Elephas maximus indicus: one gene and its partner. Each later gene encodes a partner of the first gene's protein in a complex. Links are inferred from orthologs where the notes say so. Each region holds a gene or a part of one and is shown on either strand. Other genes may lie near its edges. The genes, in order: CYFIP2 and BRK1.

Region 1 (12,481 bases):
TTTGTGGTCATTTGGTACAGCAGCAATAGAAAATTAATACGATGCTTCTCCAAACCAGCCTCTCCTCCCCAGTTCCCTACTGGTGTCCTGGACCTAGTGTGTCTGGGTAATGGCTTCACCATTCCCTCAGGCATGCAGGGTGTCCTCAGGCGTCAGTTTGGCCCTGGCTCTCTCTGCCCCAGCGCACAGTTAATTGTTAAGCCAGGTGGACCTGACCTCCAGCGACTCTTCTCTCCAGAGTCTCTTTGCCACCCCTCGGTGCCATCACCCTCATTGAGGCCTTCACGTCTACAGTGTAGATAACTTTCGTTATCTCTTAATTGATTTACTCACTCCTATGAGTCAGAATCGACTCAGCAGCAATAGGTTAACAGGTCCTTACAGCTTATTCTACACATAACTAAAATATGAAACTTATTTTGAAAGCATTATACTATTCATGTTTACCCTATGAATAAAAAATTTCCATTGCTTTTGATGTTTTATTAAATGAATTGAAAGTCCTCCAAGCCCTGACCTTTATGTTGTTGTTGTTAGTCGCCATTGAGTTGACTTTAACTGTTATGGACTGAACTGTATCCCCCAAAGTATGTGTTGTAAATCCTACTATTCCTGTGGTTATAATCTCATTTGGGAATAGGGTTTTCTTTGTTATGCTACAGAGGCAGTATTAGTATAGGGTATGTCTTAAATCAATCTCTTTTGGGGTATAAAAGAGCAGATCAAGCAAGCAGCAACAAAGCACAGATGGGGAAAGATAGATGCCACGCTACATGAGATCTCCAAGGAACCAAGGAACAGAAGCTAAAAAGCGATAAGGGCCTTGCCCTAGACTCAAGAGAAAGCCTTCCCTTAGAGCCAGCACCCTGAATTTGAATTTCTAGCCTCCTACACCATGAGAAAACAAATTTCTGTTTGTTAAAGCCACCCATTTGTGGTTATTTCTGTTGTAACAGCACTAGAAACTCGGTCATCCATTCATGGAGACTCCTTGTGTGCAGAGTAGAACTGTACCCCATAGGGTTTTCAAAGATGTGGTCTTTCAGAAGATCTCCAGGCCTGTCTTCCAAGGTGCCTCTTTGTACTTTATAACTGCCAGCCTTTCCGATAATAGGCAACTCCTTAACCATTTGCATCACCCAGCCACCTGACACTTAATGTAATTTTCCATAAATACCACAGACAACTTCCCTATATGTTCTTTAGAATCCAAACCCAGATAGTCCCTGAAAATCCTTGCCTCCGTGCCTTGTTCATGCCAGTTCCTCCACCTGGAATGCCCTCCCTGACTTATAAAATTCTAACTACACGAGACAGCAGAGTGCACTGGAAAGATAAGAAGGCTGGGAATTGAAGGCTCTGTGTTCCAGGTCTAATCCTGTGATTTACTAGTTGTGGGATCATGGACAACTTGCTTATTAACTTCTCTAGGCCTCAGTTTTCTCATCCCTAAAATAGGTATAATGATCCCTTTTCAAGTCTCAGGGCTGTTATAAGGCACCAATGATAAGGCGTATTAAGAATACTTTATACATTCTGAAGTACCATATACACAAAGGTATCATTACCCTCTTATAAGGCCCTGCTCAAAAGCCACTTCCTTCAACAAGCTTTCTCTGACCCTCTCAAGTACTCTTTAAAAGCTTCACTTTGAAATTTTACCACGATATTTACCTTTAACTTTGTGCATTTTTATCAGCAAAGAATAGCCTAGAACAAAGGCTTTGTTGTCAGAAAGACCTGGATTTACATCTGTCACTTGTCAGCATAAGGACCCTGAGCAAGTTATTTAAGTTTTCTGGGTGTCAGTTTTCTCCATCTGTAAAATGGGCATTATAATAATATCTGTTGCACAGGGCTGATATGTGGATGAAATGATATAAATGCATTTAAAATATCTGCACAGAAGAAGTGTTCAATAAATGAAGCTTGTCTATTTCCCAATTGACTTTGTGAGAATCAAAACTCAGCCCTATTTTTCCATGTACACCTCTCCAGCATTTAGCACAGTCCAGGTGGCACAGTATTGAGTGAATAAGGAATGTTAAGATAAGGTTTTAGAATACAACCGATTATATATAAAAAATCACTGAACCATGGGCAGAGCCAATAAGAATTACACACTCTTTGAGTAAGGATCCTGGAATTCTTCAAATTTCTGTGTTGCATGAGAATAAAACCAACAAAGGCCCAAGAGGCAAGGCGACGATCCTTTGCAAATGGGTCAGACACTTGCACTACAAAAGAAAATAATAACCAGCCCCACTTGGGAGTGAAGAAGGCTACCAGCTTCCTCGAGTCAATACCTGTGTTATTTCAAAGGCACTGTCCCTGTTTTTGAGTGAGGAACCTTTTGTTTTGCTCAGGAAAAAATATCCCACACCTAGAAATTTATAAAGTATAAGAGAAGGCAAGATTTAATCATATGTTAACCCAAAAAGCTATAGAAGCTTGGAGAAGTGAGAAATCAATGCTGGCTTTAGAATAACAGGGGTTAAGTTAGGCCCTAAAGGTGAGTCAGATTTGCAAAGCCAGAAGAGAAAGCTGAATATGAGAGTGAACGGAGCCTGGCCTGAGCAGGGACTTAAGGAGCTGGGTCTGCTTGAGGCAGTGGGGGTTGGAATAGCTGAGCACCTGTCCTTTGTGTCTGAAGGCTGCCAAGGGCCCCTCCAGCCCTGGCAGGGAGCGTGTACCCATCTGCTGCAGAGACTTACCATGCTGGAATGGACTGTAGCCTGCTCAATGTACCTTGCGATGCCTGTGACAAATGCATTCCTGTCCTCAAAGTTCGTGTCAAAGTTGGCCTGTGGGAATCAGAGCAGAGGAGGATTTCATTGTTGGAAAACAGGTCCAAGAGACCTGAATGTCCAGGCAACAAGCTGCTGCCTACAAATGCCATAGCTCTCGGTAGAAATCTATCACAATATTACCCTCTCATCCTCCCCAACACCCCCCAAAACCCCACTCTGAATCACACTGGGCAGGAGTAGGTGGAAGACAGGCCCGCATCTGTTCCCATTGGCAGTTCGTCAGGTTTACTCGGTGGAGCCTCAGCAATAAAGGCTTAAACCATAAAAGCCCAAAGAGCTGGTAAAAGTTAAAATGTGCATTGTTTTGATCCAGTAGGTCCAGAAATACTCATCTGAGGGTGCAGATACATAAACGAAAGGATAATCACTGTGGAATTTTTGTGATAGAAAAAACTAGAAACAACCCAAACGTCCATTGAAAGAGAACAGCTAAATTAGTAAAAGTATATTCATACAATGGACTTAGAAGTGCTATGTGGCGGTTAAAAATAATGTGGTAACATTATTATTAGCAGTTGTATTGTCATAGAAAAATATCCCTAATACATTTTAAGTTAAAAAGAGCCAAATCGTACATCAATACATACAGTATGATTCCCTTTTGGTTAAAACAATAAAAAAAGTGTACACATATTGGCATAATACAGGGAAACTTTTATTTGTTAAAGTTACACTTTTCTGTACTGCTTGTAATACAAAAGCATAATTAAAAATTTAACTGATGTTAGCTGAGGCTTCAGGCATGTGTTTAATAACTACATTTAACCACTGGACGAAATTAAAAATAAGTCTTATATTTAGTCTCATTTAGTAGTCCAAGAACTTTCAAAAGGTCAAACACAGCCGAAAATGTCAAATTAACGAGTTCTCTATTAACGTGGCATACTCTCCTCGCACACCCCGACAAGGGGCTCTGTATAAGGCTAACTCCAGCCCCGCTGGTGCCCTTCCCCACCAAGCCCTGACGGGATCACCATCTGAGAAATTCCATTGTTGTTTATCACAAGCTTTCCTCTCGTAGGCAAAAGCAAACAACTGTGATCAGCCTCCCTGAGCCATTACCTGCTGTAGGCAGTTATAGAGTTCTTTTCACACACATGAAGGAGGAGTAATTACCCAGGCAGGCTCTGGGGATTTCTAAACTGCAATATTTAATTCATGAGGTCAGCGCTGCCAAAAGCTTGGTTGGTGCAGCGGCAAGAACAACCAGGAAGGTATTTGGGGTCAGTGCAGTTCAACAAGCCTTCCCTGGGGAAGGGAAATAGTCTTGGTGAACATTTACTAGCTAATCTATTCCTTACATTCAGCTCCAAGAAGGGTGCAAGGAACTCCATCAGCTCTCAACCTTTCACCTTCCAGAAGCAGACCTCCCCCTTCCCTCTGTCTGCAGGGCAAACCCTCTTAGGGGATCCCCAGAGTCCTGAGGCCCATGCACTATTTCCAGGCAGGGCCAGGAGAACTTACCTGGTACATGATGGAGGAGGGCGGAGGCTCGATGCATGGCTGCTGGTCAGGGAGGGGCAGCTCTTCCAGCAGGTCCACGTTGGACAGGGCATCTTCCAGGGTGACGTGAGTCGTCATGGCTGCAGCTTCCCTATTCCGCACTGAGGGAAAGGAAGAGAAGGGCAACAGAGGATTTCAGGGGGCTCTAAACATTTCATCCAACCCCACCCAGTGCAGACACTTTCCGTGGGATAAAGGGGGCTAACATGCATTAAGATCACTTCCACTTGCTACTTCTTCAGAACCATGCTCTAGGGATGGCTGGTGCCCTCAACCTGCACCTTATATATTTGAGGATTTCTTTACAGTTTATGAAGTCCCTAGGTGATGCAAATGGTTAACACACACAGCTGCTAACCGGAAGGTTGGAGGTTCAAGTCCACCCAGAGGCTCCTCAGAAGAAAAGCCCAGTGATCTAATTCTGAAAAGTCAGCCACTGAAAACCCTACAGAGCACAGTTCTATTCTGACACACATGGGTTCACCACGAGTCAGTCAACTTGACCGTAACTTTTTTTTTTTTACAGTTTACAGAGTACTTGTATGCCTATTATTTCAGCTTAGACTCAACAACCCGCTATGATCAACAGGGTGAGTGGGAAGTATTATATTCAAAGAACTCATAAAGAAACAAGGCTCAGAGAAGTTATGTAATACCCATACAACCACAGTAACCAAAGGTAAATGACCTAAAATAATGCCTGACACCAGGCCAGTCAGTCCCCGCCTTTTGCTCTTCATAAGGATATTTACCATTCCACTTTTAAATTAAAGCACAGCACAGATATTCACGATTTCAACAGCCAAGATAACCAACAACTTGAAACCAGAGCCTAGGCTTCATAGGCTAATTAAGCCACCAGTTGCAGCGGCGTCAATTTGGACTCCTGGTGACTCCATGTATGTGACGGGAGAACTGTGCCCCATAGGCTGATTTTTTTGAAAGTACATCACCAGGCATTGCTTCCAAGGTGCCTCTGGCTAGACCTGAACCTCCAACTTTTGGTTAGCAGCCAGTTTACACCATCCAAAGGCAAATAAGCCGGGACTAAAAGAATTCAGGCTCCAGCAAATCGACCTTGTTTGCAAAGATGGAAGAGCCCTCATCTCCCTTGGCCCTGGTATGTTTCGTGTGCCACATCAAACAAATAAGCCCTAAGGGGACATTTTTTGTCTTGGACCCAGCAGAGTGCAGCTGCTTTGAGAACAACATATTTGCCAGGCAGTGAAGATGCAGAGGATCTGAAAAGCACTGCTACCAACTCAAGCCAATTGCTATTTTAAGAACTCAGCACCCAGCGAACAGCTTATCCATCTTTGTTTTTTTTAAAAAAAACACACAGGAAACACTGATAGAAACTGATTGTGATTTAGGCCTTAGAACAAGTTGCCACAAGTTCCCCTAAATATGATATCCAACAAGTCACAGTCAAAGATAACGACACAATGAAATTAGAAATCAATAATGCAAAATGAAGCAAAAAAAAATCCATTCTGTTGAAAACTTATAAAACACTTCAAAGTTATTGATGGCTAAAGAGAAATTCAAATGGGAATTATAAAATATTTTGAACTGAAAGATAAAGCACTAATAAATATATTTATTGGAAAATAAGAAAAATGGAATTAAATGAACCTAATTTTCCATTCAAAAATCTAAAAAAAAAAGAGAATTAAAAAAAATCAACACAAGAAAATGAGAATACAGGAATAATTAGAAAAGCAGAAATAAGTGAAACAAAAAAAGCAAAGCAAAACCAAACAAACGGCAGTAGCGGTGGACACCAATGTTAAAAATTGAGTTTCTAAAAAAGATTAATTAAAAAGAAAAGCTAACCCTTTAGCATGTGTGAGTAAGGAGGAAACCGAGAAGACTCATCTTTCTATTGCGGGAACTCCTCCCTCCCATGCCAATCCCAGGGAGGCAGGAGACATACTTAAGGGTTGAAGTTTCTTGCTTGGATGTCAGCTTGCTTTGCTCAAAGGAAACGAGGCGTCAGGCCAGAGGAGGCATGAACAACTGACATGTGAACCTGGGCTGCAGAGAGTTGAAACAGCTGCAGAGTATACCAAGGTCGTGCTATCACTAAACTAATATTTTCTTTAGACCCAAGGTTGGGAGGGCAGATGGGGGCTGAACTAGGAAGAAAGACAACCTTCACCCACCGCTGAGCAGCTCACACACTTCACTGAGTTCTCAAACACATCTTCCTGTCACGTACTATGGTAATGGTGAAAGCCACGTGCAATGAGGGAATACCCAGCTCAGAAGTGACTTCCCCCTCTGCCCTCTGGGGCATCAGTCCTCACAGGGATGGTTTCAGGTCCCCATCTGCACCTCCCCCTCTTTCTTTGTTCTCTTCTCTCCTCAGAATCCTAAGTGTGACATTCAGCTCCACAGCAAAACCATTTGCCAATCCATAAAAGATTGCCTTCTTTCTTACATTAATGTTAAGTCCATTTTACAGAAGGGTTAATGATTTTACAGGGCATATTAATTCAAAGGAAACCCTATGGCATAGTGGTTAAGAGCTACAGCTGCTAACCAAAAGGCTGGCAGTTCAAATCCACCAGGCACTCCTTGGAAACTCTACGGGGCAGTTCCACTCTGTCCTATAGGGTCGCTATGAGTAGGAATCGACTCGACAGCAATCAGTAATGATTCAAATCTATAACCACCAAAGGCCTAATAATTTCCTTTATTAATTCAAATAATAATAAAACTATCATTTCTTCAGCCTTACTCTGTGTCAGACACCATGCCAAGCACTTGACGATTATAATCTCGCATGAAAACCCTATAAAAGGAGGTACTATTATTATCCCCATGTTACAGATGCGCAAACAGAAGTTCAGAATTTAAGTAATTTCACAAGGTCAAGTGCTGGCAAGTCGTGGAGCTGAAAATAGAACCAGGTTTGTTCAGCTCCAAAGTCTGTGGTCATATTCATGACCCTGTACTTCTGCCCCAATGTTCAGCCTCACTTGTGATACCAGACACATGACTGGAGGTTTATCCTGTATCAGGCTCTGTGCTAAGTGTTTGAAAGATGATACATTAGTGCTTCTCCTGTCTGCTTATGGCAGAGATGCACATGCTCAGCTTCTTCGCATTAAATGTCTGGGCTTCATCCATAGGACTCTGACGACTGTGTTTTTAAAAAGCTTCCAACCTTGTTCGTAATAAGAGAAATTCAGATTAAACTACACAGAGATACTGTTTCTCACCTACTGGACTAGCAAAAATCCAAAGTTTGACAACACACGTTGTTGCTGAGGCAGTGGAGAAACAGGCCGTCCTATACAATGCTAGTGGGGATGCAAAATGGCGCAGCCACTATGGAAGGAAATTTGGTAGTGCTGTGGATTGAACTGTGCCCCTCAAAAATGTGTGTCAACTTGGTTAGGCCATGATTTCCAGCATTGTGTGACTATCCGTCACTTTGTCATCTGATATGATCTTCCTATGTGTTGTAAATCCTACCTCTATGATGTTAATGAGGCAGGATTACAGGCAGTTATGTTAATGAGGCAGGAGTCAATCTATATGATTAGGTTGTATCTTGAGTCAATCTCTTTTGAGATAGAAAAGAGAAAGGTGAGCAGAGAGACAAGGGGACCTCATGACCACCAAGAAAGTAGTGCCAGGAGCACAGTCCATCCTTCAGACCTGTGCTCCCTGCACCGAGAGGCTCCTAGAGCAGCAGAAGATCGATGACAAGGACCTTTCTCCAGAGCCTACTGAGACAAAGTCTTTCACTGGAGCTGGAACCCTGAATTCGGACTTCTAGCCTCCTAGACTAAGAGAAAAATTTCCGTTTGTTAAAGCCACCCACTTGTGGTATTCCTGTTATAGCAGCATTAGATAACTAAGACAGGTAGTATCTAGCAAACTTTCATAAGCATTTTACCCTTTGATCAGCAATCCCACTTCTAGGAATCTATCCCAAAGACACACTGGCAAAAAGATGTCTGTACAAGGTAGTCACTGCAGCACCATCTGCAATGGCCACAGACTGGAAACCATGCACACATCTGGCTGAATAAACCATGGTACGTCTATACGATGAAGCAGCAGGCGGCACCGAAGACAGATGACACTCTACATGCAGTGATGCAGTAAGCTCTTGGACATGCAATGTATAGTATGCTACAATTTATATAAAAAGGAGGAGATGCACACACATATATCTTATATTTAAAAAGCAAACAATGAAAGGATAAACCATGTAATTTTAAAGATTGGTTACCTACGGTGAGAGGAGAAAGGAATGGGAAGGAATACAGTTAAAGGGACAAGGATAGAAACTAGAATTCTTTTAATATATCTGGTTTTATAGATTTGCCTTTAAAACCATGTAAATAAAATTTAAATTTACAAAGTAATCTCCAAAACAAATGAACCTAAAGGTCTATCTGGTTGGCGGCATAACCACACAGAAAGAAACCATCCCAAGTAATTTTAAAATTCATTAATTTGACTGCACATCCTTAGTGGGATATACTCTAGAGACGACAAAGGACTTGTAAATATATAGCTTAAGTTGTTTTCCGTAATTATATTGAGGTACTGTTGCTGTGAGAATATGAGGATTTATTGTCCGGTAAAGAAAATTAGTAATTATGGAATGTTCTAATTCTATCATTTCCTGGCATGAAGTACTGGCATCCTTGACACAGGATAAAGGAGATACGTATGTAAGACTGAGGAGACTAAGTAAAAACCTAATAGTCCTGAACATGGATTTGAAGCATTAGTAAGAACTTACACGTTTTAATAAAAAATAAAGAAGGCGTACGTTTTGTTATGTATCTTTCTACCATAAAACATAACAAAAACTCTGTCCACTGAAAAGGCCTAGAAACAATGCCCAACCCAAGAGCAATGGGCACCCTTGGTGCCCAGAATGTCATATCCAAATATCATTTGGAATCAGTGCTCACTGAAGAGTTGGCTTTCTCTAGGTCTGGGACAGAACATGTATAAAAGTCAAGAAAATCTTGTCATACCAGAAAGCAAAGAAGCTATTAATTTAAGACTACTAGGGTGAATCAAAGGGACCCTGAAGCCAACCTGGGGAGGCTTCCACTGACCAAAGATGGGACAATCTGAGCATCAACTAGCAAAATAACTACAATGGACTGAAACAGTATCAAATATGCTTAAATCTGTGTGATCATGACAATAAAAACTTGGTCTTTATTACTTGGTTACTGTTGGAAAATGCTTGTGAACCAATATTTAACTTGCCTTTCCTATACAAACAGTACCACTGGATAACCAAGTTGTAGAAGAAAGGGATGTTTCTCACCATAAAAGTATTTTTCTCCCCCCTCCAAGAAAATCCAATCCCCTGATGAACAAATGGATGTAGGCATCAATCATCAACAACTGCTAACATCACTAAATGAGAGACAATAACACATTGTCTCCTAATGGAAAAGTATATCACCACCTTATGAAGAAGTCTAGACCCAAAACAAAATACCTTAATCTATTCAGCCTTTGATACTTGTCGTAGTCATCTAGTACTGCTATAACAGAAATACCACAAGTGGATGGCTTTAACAAAGAGGAATTTATTTTCTCACAGTCTAGTAGGTTACAAGTCCAAATTCAGAGCGTCGGCTCCAGGGGAAGACTTTCTCTGTCGGCTCTGGGGAAAAGTCCTTGTCCTTAATCTTCCCCTGGTGGAGGAGCTTCTCAGGCACAGGAACCCTGGGTGGAGAGGAAGTGCTCTGCTCTTGGTGCTGTTTTCTTTGTGGTATGAGGTCCCCAACTCTCTGCTTGCTTCCCTTTCCTTTTATCTCCTGAGAGGTAAAAGGTGGTGCAGGCCACACCCCAGGGAAACTCCCTTTACCTTGGCTCAGGGAGGTGACCTTAGTACGGGTGGTATTACAATCCCACCTTAATCCTCATAACATAAAATGACAATCACAAAATGGAGGACAACCACACAATACTGGGAATCATGGCCTAACCAAGGTGATACACACATTTTTGGGGGGACATAATTCAATCCCCAACAATACCAGTTCACAGGAAACAAAGGACCACAGTGATACAATCAGTAAATTACAATCTATGGGAAACTACTAGACAAATGACTCAGTACCTTCAACGAATAAATTGCAAAAAACAAAAAACACAGAGCAAGAGAACAAGAGAGATGAAGGGAGAAGCTATAGGCTATAAGAGACTAAACAGACTGTCACAATGCGTTGACCTTATTTGGATTCTATCTCAAACAACCAACCATAAAAATAACGGAGTAAAAAAACTTAACAATGATCAGATATTTGATAATATTAAGGAAATGGCAGTGGCATCACTAGGGTTGGTGTCACTCAGTGCAGTAACTCATGGTGTCACACGTCCCCACCCCTGATCCCGCTCCCAGCCCAATGGATCTCCTGTCTTTAGTACTGTTTTTGGTTCTAATGTTTATTTTCTCCTTCTTTCCCTTGAATTAATAATTTATTCTCAAAAAAGGTATTGAATTAGGTTCATAAATACTAATCACCACAACACTGTTTTATAGCTAAAACACCAGAAAATTTGACAAAATCAGCGACTATAAAAATATCGGCAGCAACGAAAACAACAACGCGAGCCTGTGGGATGTGCAGATGAAACCACATAAGTCGAAGTGTCAGTGTAACTGGATAAAATGACATCTCTGACCACAGCACATTAGAAGGTTAAAAAGTAAATTAGCATAGAGTTTTAGCCTTGTAGGTATATCGATACACGTAAGCTGGGCTTGTGAAAAATGTTTTTGCTGTTATAGCTAACTACATGGATATTTTTATTAGAAAATTATAAATTTCTGCTGAATCACTGCATGAAAATTTTATAGACAGTCATTTTGGTGTCACTCCCTCTGACAGTGTCATCCACTGGGGGTCACATGGCCTGCATTCCGCCAGTGACGCAACTGGGAAAATAGTGTTACTTTTTAGGTGTATAAAGACACTGAGGTTTTATCTTCTAGAGCCAAACCAAAACTGTTTGCCATCAAGTAGAATCAGGTTCGTGGTGACCCCATGTGTTTCAGAGTAGAACAGTGCTCCACAGGGTTTTCAATGGCTGTGATCTTCTAGAAGCAGACCATCAGGGCTTCCTTTTGAGGCACCTCTGGGTAGATCTGAACTGGCAACCTTTCAGTTAGGAGCTGCCATGGATTGAATTGTGTCCCCCCAAAATATCTGTCAGCTTGGCTAGGTCATGATTTCCTTCTATGATTGTTTAATTGTCTACCATTTTAATCTTCTGATGTGATTTCCGTATGTGTTGTAAATCCTATCACTATAATGTAATAAGATGGATTAGCGGCAGTTACAGATGAGGTCTAAAAGATTAGTTAGTGTCTTGAGCCAATCTCTTTTGAGATATAAAAGAGAGACATGAGGACCTCATACCACGAAGGAAGCAGTGCCAGGAATAGAGTGCATCCTTTGGACCTGAGGTTCCTGTGCTGAGATGCTCCCAGACCAAGGGAAGACTGATGCATCACAAGGACCGTCCTCTAGAGCCAACAGAGAAAGCCTTCCTCTGGAGCTGACACCCTGAATTTGGACTTGTAGCCTGCCTGACTGTGAGAATAAACTTCTCTTTGTTAAAGCCATCCACTTGTGGAAGTTACAGCAGCACTAGATGACTAAGACAGAATTTGTTACCGAGAGAGTGGGTGCTGCTCTAACAGATACCTAAAATGTGGAGTGGTTTTGAAACTGTGAATGGATAGAGAAGCAGCAGTGACAGAGGGCCAGCAGCAGCAGAGAACTAGCAGCAGCAGAGAACCAGCAGCAGCAGAACCAGGGACCAGTGCCAGACAGCACTGGAGCCAACCTATGGAGCCAGAGGGCTGAGCACCTGTGTGCAGGAGGCTCCCTGGTGGAGTGAGGTGCCCTCCAGGCACTTATCGGTGGAGCTACAGAGCTTTGGAACACTTGCCCCAGCAGAGCAGATGCGGGGGTAAAGCCCAGATTCCCCAGAGGCCAAGAAACCAGGAAGCAGAAGCTGAAGAGACAACAGAGGAAGCCAAGCTGCCCCAGTCTCAAAAGGTATGGCCATGACCTCTGGGGCGTCAAAGGACGGAGCCATGGCCTCTGGTGTTTCTAAGGGTGAAGTTGCCACTCAGAGGAACGAGGAGAATAGTGCAGGTA
Region 2 (12,623 bases), on another chromosome or scaffold:
AATTGCGGAGCTGAGTTCAGCATCCAACTTCCTCACTACCCACGAATGGTACTCTTCCCAATTACACTGTCCCACCACACCCTGCTACCACACTTCTGAGCCTTTGGGGCTATAATTCATTCCCCACATCTCTTAAAATTTTCTTACAGCCCAACTCTTCCACTTTCTAGGGTTGTTTGTTTGCTTCCATGGTATTCTTTCTCATTCATCCATTTAATTGGTACTCTTCACTGCTGTTTTAAACAGCTTTATTGATATAATTTGCATACCATAAAGTTCATTTGCTTAGAGCATACAATTCAATGTTTTTTAGTATATTTACAGAATTGTGCAACCATCACCAGAATCTAATATTTGAACAGTTTCACCATCCCAAATGAAACCTGTACCCATTAGCAGTTACTCCCCATTCCCCTCAGCCCCTGGCAATCACTAACCTACTTTCCGTCTCTATGAATTTGCCTATTCTAGACGGTCTTCCTTATTCTTTTTCATCTTTTTTAAAAACTGCTAGTGCTGCTTCCTCTAATTCCCGGGTCTAACTTGAGTATGAACACCTCAGCAGTCCTCTTTTCCTGGGTACACTGCCATTTGCTGTCAGGCTTGTCCAACAGGACCAAATCCCTTTGAGTTTTTAGAAGCTCAAAGGCACATCACGTACGCTACTCAGGAAGAGTACAAATGTCATCACTGACAACCTGTGATTTCCTAAAAAGAACCATGCCAAAGCTATGTGTGCACATGTGTGGCAGGGAGAGGATTCCTTCTTGGCTATCTGTTCTGTTATAGCTCTATCAATCTGGTAATGAATCAGAATCCAAGAACAACACTGTGCTACTGGCCTGCGTGTACAAGCATAGTTGAGAAATATAAAATGTTCAACTCCAGAAACCTTAATCATATTTCAGATCCCATTAAGTACATACTGGTTCAAATAAACACCGGGAAAGCATTAGGCAGCTGGACAAATCTGAAATCAGAGTATAGTTATGTGTACATTATCAACAGATTTCAACTGAAAATGCCAGTCCTTGCCAGGGTACTTGATGGTGTACATACGTCATCATGGCTGACAGATGCCAGATGGCTCCATCTCTTCTCTTACTGCACATAACCCTGGCACTACAAAAATTAACACTGCCTTTCTAATTGTTTTTGCAGCTAACTGTTATTTCTCCAGTAAGATTCTAAATTTCTTAGGAATGGGTACTGTGTTCATTTATTCTTATTTATTCCTTTCTCACATCGTCATCTGACACACAGCTGGGGTCACAAGTGGCATACTCTGTTGGCCAAATATAAAAACTGAGATTTTTAAATAGCCACATTCTCTATTTTTTTTATACTTTTCTGCACTTTCTACATCTTACACAATGAGCATGTATTAGCTTTATAATCAGGAAAAAAAAGTATAAAAGTAAAAAGCTATAATCTGTGGCAATCTATTTTTAGAAACTTCACCAAGTCCAAAGTACAGAACAGGCCTAGTGTTATAGTGTGTTGTTGCCGCATTACAATCTGCGTGTCCTCAGGTTTAGTTGGTCCTACAACTCTGAAAGAGAAAACCACAAAGAGACTGAGACTTTACTCTCACCAGCTCCAGCCACAAGAAAAGAGCTATTCAGAAAGTCATCAGCATACACGCATGCCTGTAATGGACTGAATTGTGTCCCCCCAAAATATGGGTCAACTTGGTTAGGCCATGCGTAGTTGTCCTCTATTTTGTGATTTTCCTTTGTGTTATCGATCATAATCTCTGCCTGTGGTTAAAAGGATTACTCAGGTCACCTCCCTGATCCAAAAGGGAGTTTTCCTGGGGTGTGGCCTGCACCACCTTTTGTCTCTCTTAAAAAATAAACAATACCACCTGTGAAGAATGTGCTCCCTTAAATATTCAATGTTGACCAAACAGTCAACAAAAAAACCAAACCCATTTTTGCCAAGTAGGTTCCAATTCACAGTGACCCTATAGGACAAAGTAGAACTGACCGATAGTTTCCAAGGAGTACCTGGTGGATTCAAACTGCTGACCTTTTGGTTAGCAGCCATAGCTCTTAAACTCTACACCACCAGGGCTTTCAAACAGTCAACATTTACCCTAAAACAAAGGTGAGACGGTAGGGAGGGGCAGGAAAGCTAGACTAATGGAAGCAGAACTAACAGAATGGAAACAATGAGAATGCTGATACACTAAAATATGTAACCAATGTTACGGAATTATCTGTATTAAAATCATTAAATGGCAACCCAATTTGCTGTGTAAACTTTCACCTGAAACACAATATTAAAAAAAAAAAAAAAGGGAAAGTCATTATCTTGGAAAAGCAGTAAAGTATTAAAAAAAAAAGTAAGTTCCCTCTCTAAAGCACACGGCCTCTGCAGACTCTGTGTGGTCAGGGTGAGGACTGCAAGATTGCTGTCATTTTGAAAGTGCTCTAGATGCTCCCGCAAATAAACTCCTATTGAATTTTTACACCATCAAATCATATTATGAATATGAAACAAGTCCTGCAGATTAATATCAGAACTGACGAGTCATGCTAAGGGCTTAGAAAGGGAAAACGTATCCCACACACTATCATCCTGAATCATCCAATGCCAAGACGATGTACTCAGGTCTGTCCTCATGATTCACCGTTTCTCAGCCTTTGTCTAAACTCGTGTGGTGATATTATCCCTCTTCAGGAACTTGCTTCAGTTGCACCTAATTTCTGAATCAAATTGCTTTCATTTTTAATCTTGCTTCCTAACTGTTCTTCCTTACAAGTAATTAATTGTGCTTTCTTTTTTTTTTTCTTTAAAAGGACTTAGTTCATTTTCTAAAATCTTCAAAAACCTAGAAATTATTCCAAACACTAGGCTATTATCATTACTTTAAGGGAAGATAATGACCCAAATAAGGGAGGCCATTTCTCTGGCCCCTAAGAATTAGAATTCTGGGTGTCTATTTCCTCAGTTAAGGAGCCCCAGTGGCACAGTGATTAGAACGCTCAGGGGCTAACCAAAAGGTGAATGGTTGAAACCCACCAGCCACTTTGTAGGAGAAAGATGAGGCAGTTTGCTTCCTTAAAGATTTACAGCCTTGGAAACCCTACGGGGCAGTTCTACTTTGTCCTATAGGGTTTCTATGAGTTGGCGTCAACTCCACAGCAATGGGTTTGGTTTTTTTAGTTTCTCAGTTTAGAACTTGTTGGAAATACCAAATTAAAAATTTTAAAAAGTCTTTATTCTCTAACTGATCACAAAATGTGACTCACACACATATGATTTAAAATCTCGGAGCAAGTATTTTCTTGCATATAAGAAAAGGGACATTTCTCCTATGCAAATCCTAAGCCCAAACCTTCAATTTTCAATCAGTCCCAAAACTTGCCCACTATAAATTTAGTAGGTGTGACAGTCCAAGAAAACTTCTCCCAAAGATAAATATACGTGAACCAAATGTCCATGAATACAATTCTAAGCTCAGAAATGAAGTTATGACACTAGCAGGGATCCAGTTTTCTGGGACTGGGATCACTATGAGTCAGAACCGATTTGACAGCCTGAGGTTTTGTTTTTTTGTTTGTTTTTGGGGGGTGTTAGAATCACTTTTAAATTTTTAAAGCAGTTTCAGCTTGACTTGTTTAGATACTTACTGAACAGACATTCTTAATACTTTGCTTGGATATTCTGTGTATATGTCAAAAATTAACTCCTACCAAATTAAGTCTTTTAATTCTGCTTTTTAAAACAAAGTTAAAACTTTCAGTGTCAGTGATTTTTCTCACTATTTTCACTGCCTTTCCGGATTAAGTCAAAGTCTTAAAGCTGTGATCCTGCCATCATTATATCCTTCCCCTAGCACAAAAGATTTTGGTGTCTCTTGGCCCTTCCTCTAAAGGAATGTTATGAATAAAGAATACTATGAAGAAACTCCCCGCCCCCCTCCCCCCGCCCCCCCGCAAATATTTCAGCTCTCTAGGAAAGCAGGAGAAACCAATAATTAAGAACAAACACTGCGATAAAAAAATGCTGTTGCCTTCAAGTCGGTTTTGACTCTTAACGACGACCCTATAGGACAGGGTAGAACGCCCCACAGAGTTTCCAGCGACCGGCTGGTGGATTCAAACTGCTGACCTTTTGGTTAGCAGTCCAGCTCTTAACCACTGTGTCACCAGGGCTCCAACACTGACACAGTTCATACAGAACTTAAAAAAGGGGAAGTCCAGCCTATCTAGGTAGCAGAGTAAATGGGTCATTACTGCATTTTCAGTTCACTAAAACCAATTCATCTAACTCCTTTGAACTTGGGTCTTCTGATTCCAAACCCACTTATCTTTTCCACCAAACATACTCCTTCACTTATATTCCTCGAAAATAATAAATAAAATTTCAGGGTACATGAAAGCTATGCTTTTCTTGACTATCATTCCCTATTTACAACCTCGATAGCACTTTGCGTCTGAGTATGTATCAATGACATACACATTTATACTATGTGCTCAGTAATACTACCTTTACTCCCATTCCCCAGTGGGTGAGAAAATCCACCACACTAAGGAACATCAAGATTATAGTCCTACATACCTTGTAACTATTTTAACATAAAAACAATGTTCTGCTTTGTTCTGAAGTTATCATTATTTCATCTTCAAGATTAAAAATTTCTTGAAGGCAGAAGTGATTCCTATTCTGGGTCCCCCACAGTGCCTGAGATAGATTTTGTTTGCACTGAGTCCTGTTTCTCCTGCTGATGCCTTCTGACACGACTTTTTTTTTGGAGAGGGGGGCGGGGTGCGCTTTAAGTGAAAGTTTACAATTCAATTCAGTTTCTCATACAAAGATCTATACACACATTGTTATGTGACCCTAGCTAGCTGCATTCCCTACAATGTGACAGCAACTCCTTCTCTCCACCCTGTATTTCCCATGTCCATTTAACCAGCTGCTGTCCCCCTCTGCCTTCTCACCTCACCTCCAGACCGAGCTGCCCATTTAGTCTCACGTATCTACTTGAGCTAAGAAGCACACTCTTCACCAATATCATTTTATGTCTTATAGTCCAGTCTAATCTTTGTCTGGCTAAGAGTTGGCTTTGGGGAAGGTTTTAGTTCTAGGCTAAGACAGAGTCCAGAAGCCATGTCTTCTGGTGTCCCTCCAGTCTCAGTCAGACCATCAAGTCTGGTCTTTTTACTAGAATTTGAGTTCTGCACTCCACTTTTCTCCTGCTCCATCAGGGACTCTGCTGTGTTCCCTTCAGGGCGGTCACTGGTGGTAGCCGGGCACCATCTAGTTATTCCAGTCTCAGGCTGATGGAGTATCTGGTTTATATGGCCGTTGCTGTCTCTTGGGCTCATATTTTCCTTGTGTCTTTCGTGTTCTTCATTCTCTTTTGTTCCAGGTGGGCTGGGACCAACCGATGCATCTTAGATGGCCACTCGCAAGTTTTAAGGACCCAGACGTCACTTACTGAAGTGGGATGCAGAACGTTTTAATAAACTTTGTTATGTCAATTGACCTAGATGTCCCCTGAAACCATGGTCCCAAATCCCCACCCCTGCTACTCTGTCCCTTTAAGTGTTTCGCTGTATTCAGGAAATTTCTTAGCTTTTGGTATAGTCCAGTTATGCTGACTTCCCTTGTATTGTGTTGTCCTTCCCTTCACCTAAAATAATTCTTGTGTACTATCTAGTTAGTGAATACCCCTCTCCCTCCCTCCCCACCCTCCGAACCATCAAAGAATGTTTTCTTCTGTATTTAAATCTACTCTTGAGTTCTTATAATAGTGGTCCGACACAACTCTTGCTGTCACTTTTACACTCCTTAGGACTCATCAGCCATTTAGGTAGGAAAAAATTCATTTTAAAATCTTTTACCTATGCATCAGTTTTCCCTATGTAATCTTAATTCCTTAATTTTCTGAATTAATGGAACCAACGCACACTAGCTGGAAAAAGAAAACTACACATTATTCACACACCTTACGTAATTAGGAAGTCTACCCAGTGCCAAATTCTCTGAAAAGAAACACTTGGAGAACATGGGGTAGGATTCTCTGTTACAGGCCTGGTCTCCAAAGGACACTGAACATGCAGAAATAATTTAAGACTGTCACAAGCTGAACGTTCCTGGGAAAGATTCTGGTAACGCTGTTTCTATGCTCAAGACACCTCCCTATGTTAGTTCTGAGGAGCAGGAAAGAAGCAAAAAGAACACCTACTGGATACTAGCAATACAGAAGTTGCCAACAAATGAGTCGGAATAGACTTGATGGCAACTAACAGCACAATCTGGACCTTACCTACCTCACTGACCTCATCTCCTACCACACTCAGCACAGTATACACGGGAGACAGGAAGGAATGGACAGAAGAGCTGCTGAAAGATTTGCAGAAAAGACATATAGGGAGCTAAGGGGTTCCAACTTGATTCTCAAAGGGGGGGGCCATCAAGAGTTTTTAAACAGGGCAGTGACAGGGTCATGGCTGCGTTTGGGAGGTGCACTCTGAGTGCCAAGTGGGGACTGGATAGGAAGCGGAGCCCATGGTGGCAGGACTAGTGAGAAGACAAGGCGCAGAGGGTGGATGGGGCTGCTTGATAGACGCGCCTGGGAAAAGGACTCCTTAATGGACCTAGGATGAAGGCAATAAGGCCGATGAGCTCAGCTTAAGGCAGAATAACCCCACAGAAACTGTCTAGAGGAACCTGTGGGTCACCGCCGAGAGGTGGAAGGAGGGGCCTGAAGGAGGAAGCGAAAAACAGCAGGAGCCGAGGGCACCCGGGAGAGGCCCGTCAAAGCTTTTCGGTGCCCCGGACAAACCGCCTAAGGCCTCCCTCCCCCCTGCCTCCCCCTGCTCGCCCGCTGACCGAACGAGTTGAGAAAGTCCGCGATTTTCTTGATGCTGCTGGTGATGACCTCAATGTACTCCCGGTTCGCCCAGTCCTGGTGAATCTCCCGCTGCACCGGATCCTCTTGTCCCGCCATGGCGGCCGCCTAAGGAAGAGCGCCTGCGCAGGCGCCCCGACCCTGCAGGCCGCCAGTGCGCCTGCGCCGCCAGCCCACGCCCATCCCTTGGGACTCAGGAACGCCACGAGAATTGTGGCGCGCCTGCGCAATGTCAGGCCTTCGCCTTCGTTTTCGCTCTTCTCCCACGGCCCTGCAAACAGATGCCCCAGCTCTGGCGGTGAGAATGGAGTGCGCACGCGCTGAGAGCCCGCTCCCGCCCCCGGTCACTAGCCGTTATGGTCGTTAGGGGGCGCGTGGGCTCAAGTCACGTCCTCCCTCAGCTGCTCCAAACTAGGGTCTTGCAGTCTGTTTCAGCATTAAGATGGGCACAACAGATTAAATCTCAGTAAAAGTCATTTAGAAAATGCCTTTAAACAACGCAACATGATGTTTTACCAGCATTTATCAAATGAGAGGCTTTTTTTTTTTTTTTAACGATACTACCCAGTAATGGAGAGGCTGTGATGAAATTGGTAGACTCGTAAACACACGATAAACTGGCACAATCTTTTCAGAAGGAATTTTTTTAATTGATAGCAAAAGCTGTTAAAAAAAAAAAAACATTTAGCTTAATCATTTCATTAGGAGACATTTAAAAAAAAATTTTAAACACAAGGTGCTCCTTGTAGCATAATCTATTTAAAAAAAAAAAAGAAAATAAAAAACTAAATCTCCAACAACTGGGGAATGGCTAAACAACGGTATAGCCACTTAAGGCAATATTATACAGTCATTTAAATGCTAATTATGAAGACTATGTCAACAAGATAACAAATTAAAAAAACACAAATTTTCCTTTACTTGAAACTATGTAAAAAATGTCTGCTTGAGAACAAGGAGGATGCACCAAAAATGTCAATATCTAATTTGTTAAAGTAGTAGAATTATGAGCAGTTTGGTTTTGGGGAATATTTACAATCTGGTTTGTGCAATAAATGCCTTTTATAAAAAATGCGAAAAGTCAGGTTACTTTTAGCAGTAGCTGAGAAAACCTTTCTAACAGTTCTTTATTCTGGTATAAGATTTTATAATCTATAAAGATGCTTGGCAGTTACTACCTCACTGGGCCCTCACAAACCCTGTGGGAGGAAGTCAGGAAGAGATTACATCACCACCCTTTTGCAGAAGAGAAAATTGAAGTTCAAGGTCACACAGCCTTTTAAGTCGTTGTCTTTAACCAGCTGATTCCAGACTCCATTATCTTTTTACTTTGCCACTCTGAAAACATGTCTGTCTGAGCTCTTCTACATATTCATGTCAGTGATTTCTAACATAAGTAGATATTGACAACTAGGGAGCCCTCCATATGTACGGAGTCTCCCTGTTTGAGGCCATACTTCGTAAGTGATGCTCTTGATGTAATTTTTTTTTTTTTAGTAATTTTTATTGTGCTTTAAGTGAAAGTTTACAAATCAAGTCAGTCTGTCACATATAAGCTTATATACACCTTACTCCATACTCCCACTTACTCTCCCCTAATGAGTCAGCCCGCTCCCTCCTTCCAGTCTCTTCTTTCGTGACGCTTTTGCCAGTTTCTAACCCTCTCTACCCTCCTGTCTCCCCTCCAGAGAGGAGATGCCAACACAGTCTCAAGTGTCCACCTGATACAAGTAGCTCACTCTTCGTCAGCATCTCTCTTCAACCCATTGTCCAGTCCCTTCCATGCCTGATGAGTTGTCTTCGAGAATGGATCCTGTCCTGGGCCTACAGAAGGTTTGGGGACCATGACTGCCGGAATTCCTCTAGTCTCAGTCAGACCATTAAGTCTGGTCTTTTTATGAGAATTTGGGGTCTGCATCCCACTGTTCTCCTGCTCCCTCAGGGGTTTTAATGTAATTTTTTGCTCACACATCACAGACCTACTTTTCAATTAAAGGGAAGCCATCTAGGTTTCAAATCCCAAGTCTACCAGAGATGAATCATTTCATCCCTTCATGTGTAATACAAGAATAGCAACATTTGACGGGTTAGGACTGTTGGGAGGATTATGGAGTAAGGATAAGTAAAACACTAAGAGTCATGCCTGGCACCTCACAAAGCGTGTACTCAAGATCAGTTTACATTTATGCAGAGCAGAAAATTAAATACACCTATATCTATCCAACAATTTTTAATCATACAATTTTGCTTTGGGGACTTGCGTTTAAAAAAAAAAACTGCAATAAAAACTATTATTGTTTTTTTTTAAATAATAGGTGTTGATTTTATTCAAGAGGAAAATAAAAATAAACTTCCTGGAAAAAAAGTTTGGTAATTCAAGAATCACTTGCATGCCTTCCAAGTCTCATCATTCTCTTCCCTTCTCTCCACTTGCCTCTCCTTCCACAGGCACAGTGGGCGGCTGACTGTGGGCCTCCTTCACAAGTCTCTCAAGACTATTTTCCAGACCAAGATCTCAACCTGATCCCATCCCCAGGCCTCTAGTCCCTCCACTCCACCTTCACCCAAACAAAAGGCGACAGCTCTTATGGTGCTGTGTTCTCCATCATGCAAAGTGCAAGGGCAATTTCTGGGTGTCTGATGGAAGAGCAGGTAGGCCATTAGTCAGTTCCTCCCACAAATCCTAACAGCACACTACAAACACTGTGATAGCCACGCACTGGCGTTAGGGAGTGAACTGGACAGACATCCTCTTCCCTCAGTGATCCAGGCTAGTTGTTTCGCATGATCCTTAGGAATTTGTCAAATCATTCCTTAAGGTGTCAGTTTTTCAGCATTGTAAGGATGGGAACAGAACTGTACTTTTCGAGATTTAACTTTCAGTCAGGAAATCAAGGAAAGATGTATCTTTTTTCTTGCTCCTTGACAGACCGAGCATTTATAAATTGTTTCCTTGCAATGTCATCATTTGAAAATACAGCAACAAAGGTCTTCAGGGCTCTAGATAATTAGCCCTGAACACTCACTGAGTTGGCTGTAATTAGAGACTTTTATTAACTACAGGTCCCAGGACGTTTATGCAAGTTCTTGATCACAGTCTGTGAAGTGGGTGTGTCAGTCCTCTATTACAGGGTTGGAATGGATGCTGAGGTTGAGGACTTGAGGAAAAGACACAGGTATGGCCGGGACACGGGGGAGAGAGGAAGGCCGGGTTCGAATCCACTCTCCTGAAGGACGAGTCCCAGAACCAGCTTTTCAAGGAGGGGTAGGGAGTCCAGCCCTGACGCTTCACAGCAGGGGCGCCTCGAGCCCCCCACCCCCCACCCCTGAGGCTCGGGCTTCTCCGCGATCCTGGGTCACAAAGGCGGTTGCCAGGCGCCCGGTGGAGAAAAGATGCGGCTCGGGAACAGCGGCAGCCACTCTGGAGCGTGTGGCCCGCGGAGTTCAGCAGGTGAGCCCCCGGCCCGGATGGTGGGACCGGGCCCGGGCTCCTACAGCCACCTCCGCCTCGGCCAGAGCCCTCTGGCCCCCGCCCCCGGGTAGGGACCCCGGGAGACAAGCCTTTTCTTCCGGCTGGAAGGGAGAGCCTCCCAACCCCGGGCAGCTCCAGCCCCTCCTGATCGCAGCTCACGAGGACCTCACTGCACTTTGGCGCTGCCTTCCTCTTTCCCAGGTGGGGAAATTCCAGGGGCTTTTTGGGAACTAGAGGAGGGTATGAAGGGGAAGCCTGTTTGCTCAGGCTGGAAGCTGCTACAGCAGCTTGAACAGACTTCTTAGATTCAACCCCTCTTGGAGTGGATGACAGCTTCCAGGTGGTGGTGGGGGTGAATCACCTTTATTAAAACCTTGTGTGAAGTGGTGGAAAGATGTGAAATCAGGAGCCCTCTCATCCCCTGCTCTTTCTGCTATACATCCAAGGTTTGACCTTTGACAAAACCTTTCACCTCTGGTTCTATTTTCTCATAAGAAATGAGTAAGGAAAAGGATCCTGGGATTATCTTTTTTTCATTGTATGCCCAGAGGAGTTGTACCAGAGTAGCCACGATCTTGGATATATGCTTAGGGCCATATCAAGCATCAGAAGACTTCCCTAGGCTGTCCCTTGGGTGTCAGTGTTTTTCATCCTAAGGAGCCAATATGTGAACACTTAGTTTGTGCAAAGGGCCTGCACAGATTATGAGAACCATACTAGTTGGAGGAAACCAACAAACTTCCATTATACTAACCATTCTCAGGGGTAGGTCTTTTGGTTTGAAATGTCACCAACAGTTCTTTAAAAACTTTTTTAAAGAATCAACAGTTTGTGTTACAAACTATGGTGGAGGTATCAACTTTTCACAGCACTTCCAGGGCAATTAATGGATGGGATGGGATCAGATCTGCTGCTGTTACCTTTTGTGGGAGAAGAGAGAAGGGACAGAGGAATACACTTGGTTGGAAAGAAAAGGGATCTGCTATGCCTCTTACATCTAGGTAGGTGCTCAAAACGTTAGCTTCTTCTGAATTCAGAAAAACCCTTTATATACTGTTACTTTTGAAGTATAATGATGGGAAATTCAAATTCTACTTGAAAAATTTTTGAGTTAGCAATATCTTCCCAGCCCTTAAAGAATTATCTTTAAGGTGAGGGGGGGTAGAAAATCAAGGTCTTAACCACATGGTGGGCCTCTCCTAGATGAGAAAAACACATACATAGAAAAACTAGAAAAATCTTTAAAATTTTTTAAAGACTGGCCTTTGGAAACTTTCTTTCCTCCCAGCCTGGTATAATTTCTCTGAGCCTGTATATAGGTAGGCCAGGGCTCTGAAAAAGAGCTACTCTCTGTGTCAGGAAACACTGAGGTTTTTAGGGCTAAAAAGAGACTGTCTCCATAACTAAGAACAGTGAAAGCTGGAATTCCTCAAAAGGGGAAGCATAAGAAGATCTCAAATTATAAGGTACATCCCTGGAGAGCTTATTTAAATGCCTATTGCTGAGCTCCCACCTGCAGAGTTTCTAGATTCTTTAAGTCTGAGGTGGAGCCCAATAATCTGCATATCGAACAAGTTCCCAGAGGATGCTGAAGCTGCTAGTCCAGGGATCATACTTTGAGAATGAGTGCTGTAAAGAGAAGTACATGGGATTTAGAGTTGTAAATATTTGGTAAGACATGGTCTTTCTGAGCTTGTAACCATAAATAATCTTTCATCCTGAAGTTCCGGCAGCCTCTGCTGCCTCAGAGGAGTGGACTCTGTCTTCAGCCATTACCACACAGAAGAGGTACTAAAGATGGACTGGGATAGTCCAATTCAGACAGATCTACTTCCTAACCTGTAAAATGGGTTAAACCTACCTTCGGAGCTTGTGATAGGGTTTAATAAGGTTTTAGCACACATAGCAGTTGCTAGATTCAACACTAGCTACCATCCCCTACTGCCTCTTATAGAATTTCTAATATACTCCAACACCTGTTGGAATCTGTTCACGGGAACTACAGAGTAAGTTTAAGTCATTAATGAGACGCAGATGTGAATTTGACCAGCCGTGCACCCATCATAAGCATGCCAGGGAAATTCCATGTTCTGATTCCTTTTCTTTAGGACTTTCAATGGCGGCATACCATCTCTGGTCACCATGGACCCCACTGGATGAGAGCTTCCAATGGCTGCGGCACACAACACCTACACCTTCTTCCAAACACCCCTTTAGGGCCTCCCCCTGCTTGCCACATACCCCTTCTGACCTTGAAGTGCAGCTGTGCTTTCAAGAGGTCAC

What was found.
Region 2: CYFIP2 (region 1) and BRK1 share a complex: the UniProt entries of both Homo sapiens proteins name them as parts of the WAVE1 complex. The link is inferred for Elephas maximus indicus from reciprocal best matches to the Homo sapiens genes CYFIP2 and BRK1.

What each region holds. Positions count from the first base shown.
Region 1 is NC_064820.1:173,775,175-173,787,655, reverse strand, and holds the start of CYFIP2 (cytoplasmic FMR1-interacting protein 2), read right to left. Parts: upstream 6,475-12,481; 5' UTR 6,251-6,474; coding exon 6,250-6,250; intron 4,415-6,249; coding exon 4,275-4,414; intron 2,805-4,274; coding exon 2,715-2,804; intron 1-2,714. UniProt on the Homo sapiens protein: Involved in T-cell adhesion and p53/TP53-dependent induction of apoptosis. Does not bind RNA. As component of the WAVE1 complex, required for BDNF-NTRK2 endocytic trafficking and signaling from early endosomes.
Region 2 is NC_064838.1:34,997,466-35,010,088, reverse strand, and holds the start of BRK1 (protein BRICK1), read right to left. Parts: upstream 7,006-12,623; 5' UTR 6,968-7,005; coding exon 6,850-6,967; intron 1-6,849. Other genes in the region: FANCD2OS (FANCD2 opposite strand protein), read left to right, coding at 12,457-12,623. UniProt on the Homo sapiens protein: Involved in regulation of actin and microtubule organization. Part of a WAVE complex that activates the Arp2/3 complex. As component of the WAVE1 complex, required for BDNF-NTRK2 endocytic trafficking and signaling from early endosomes.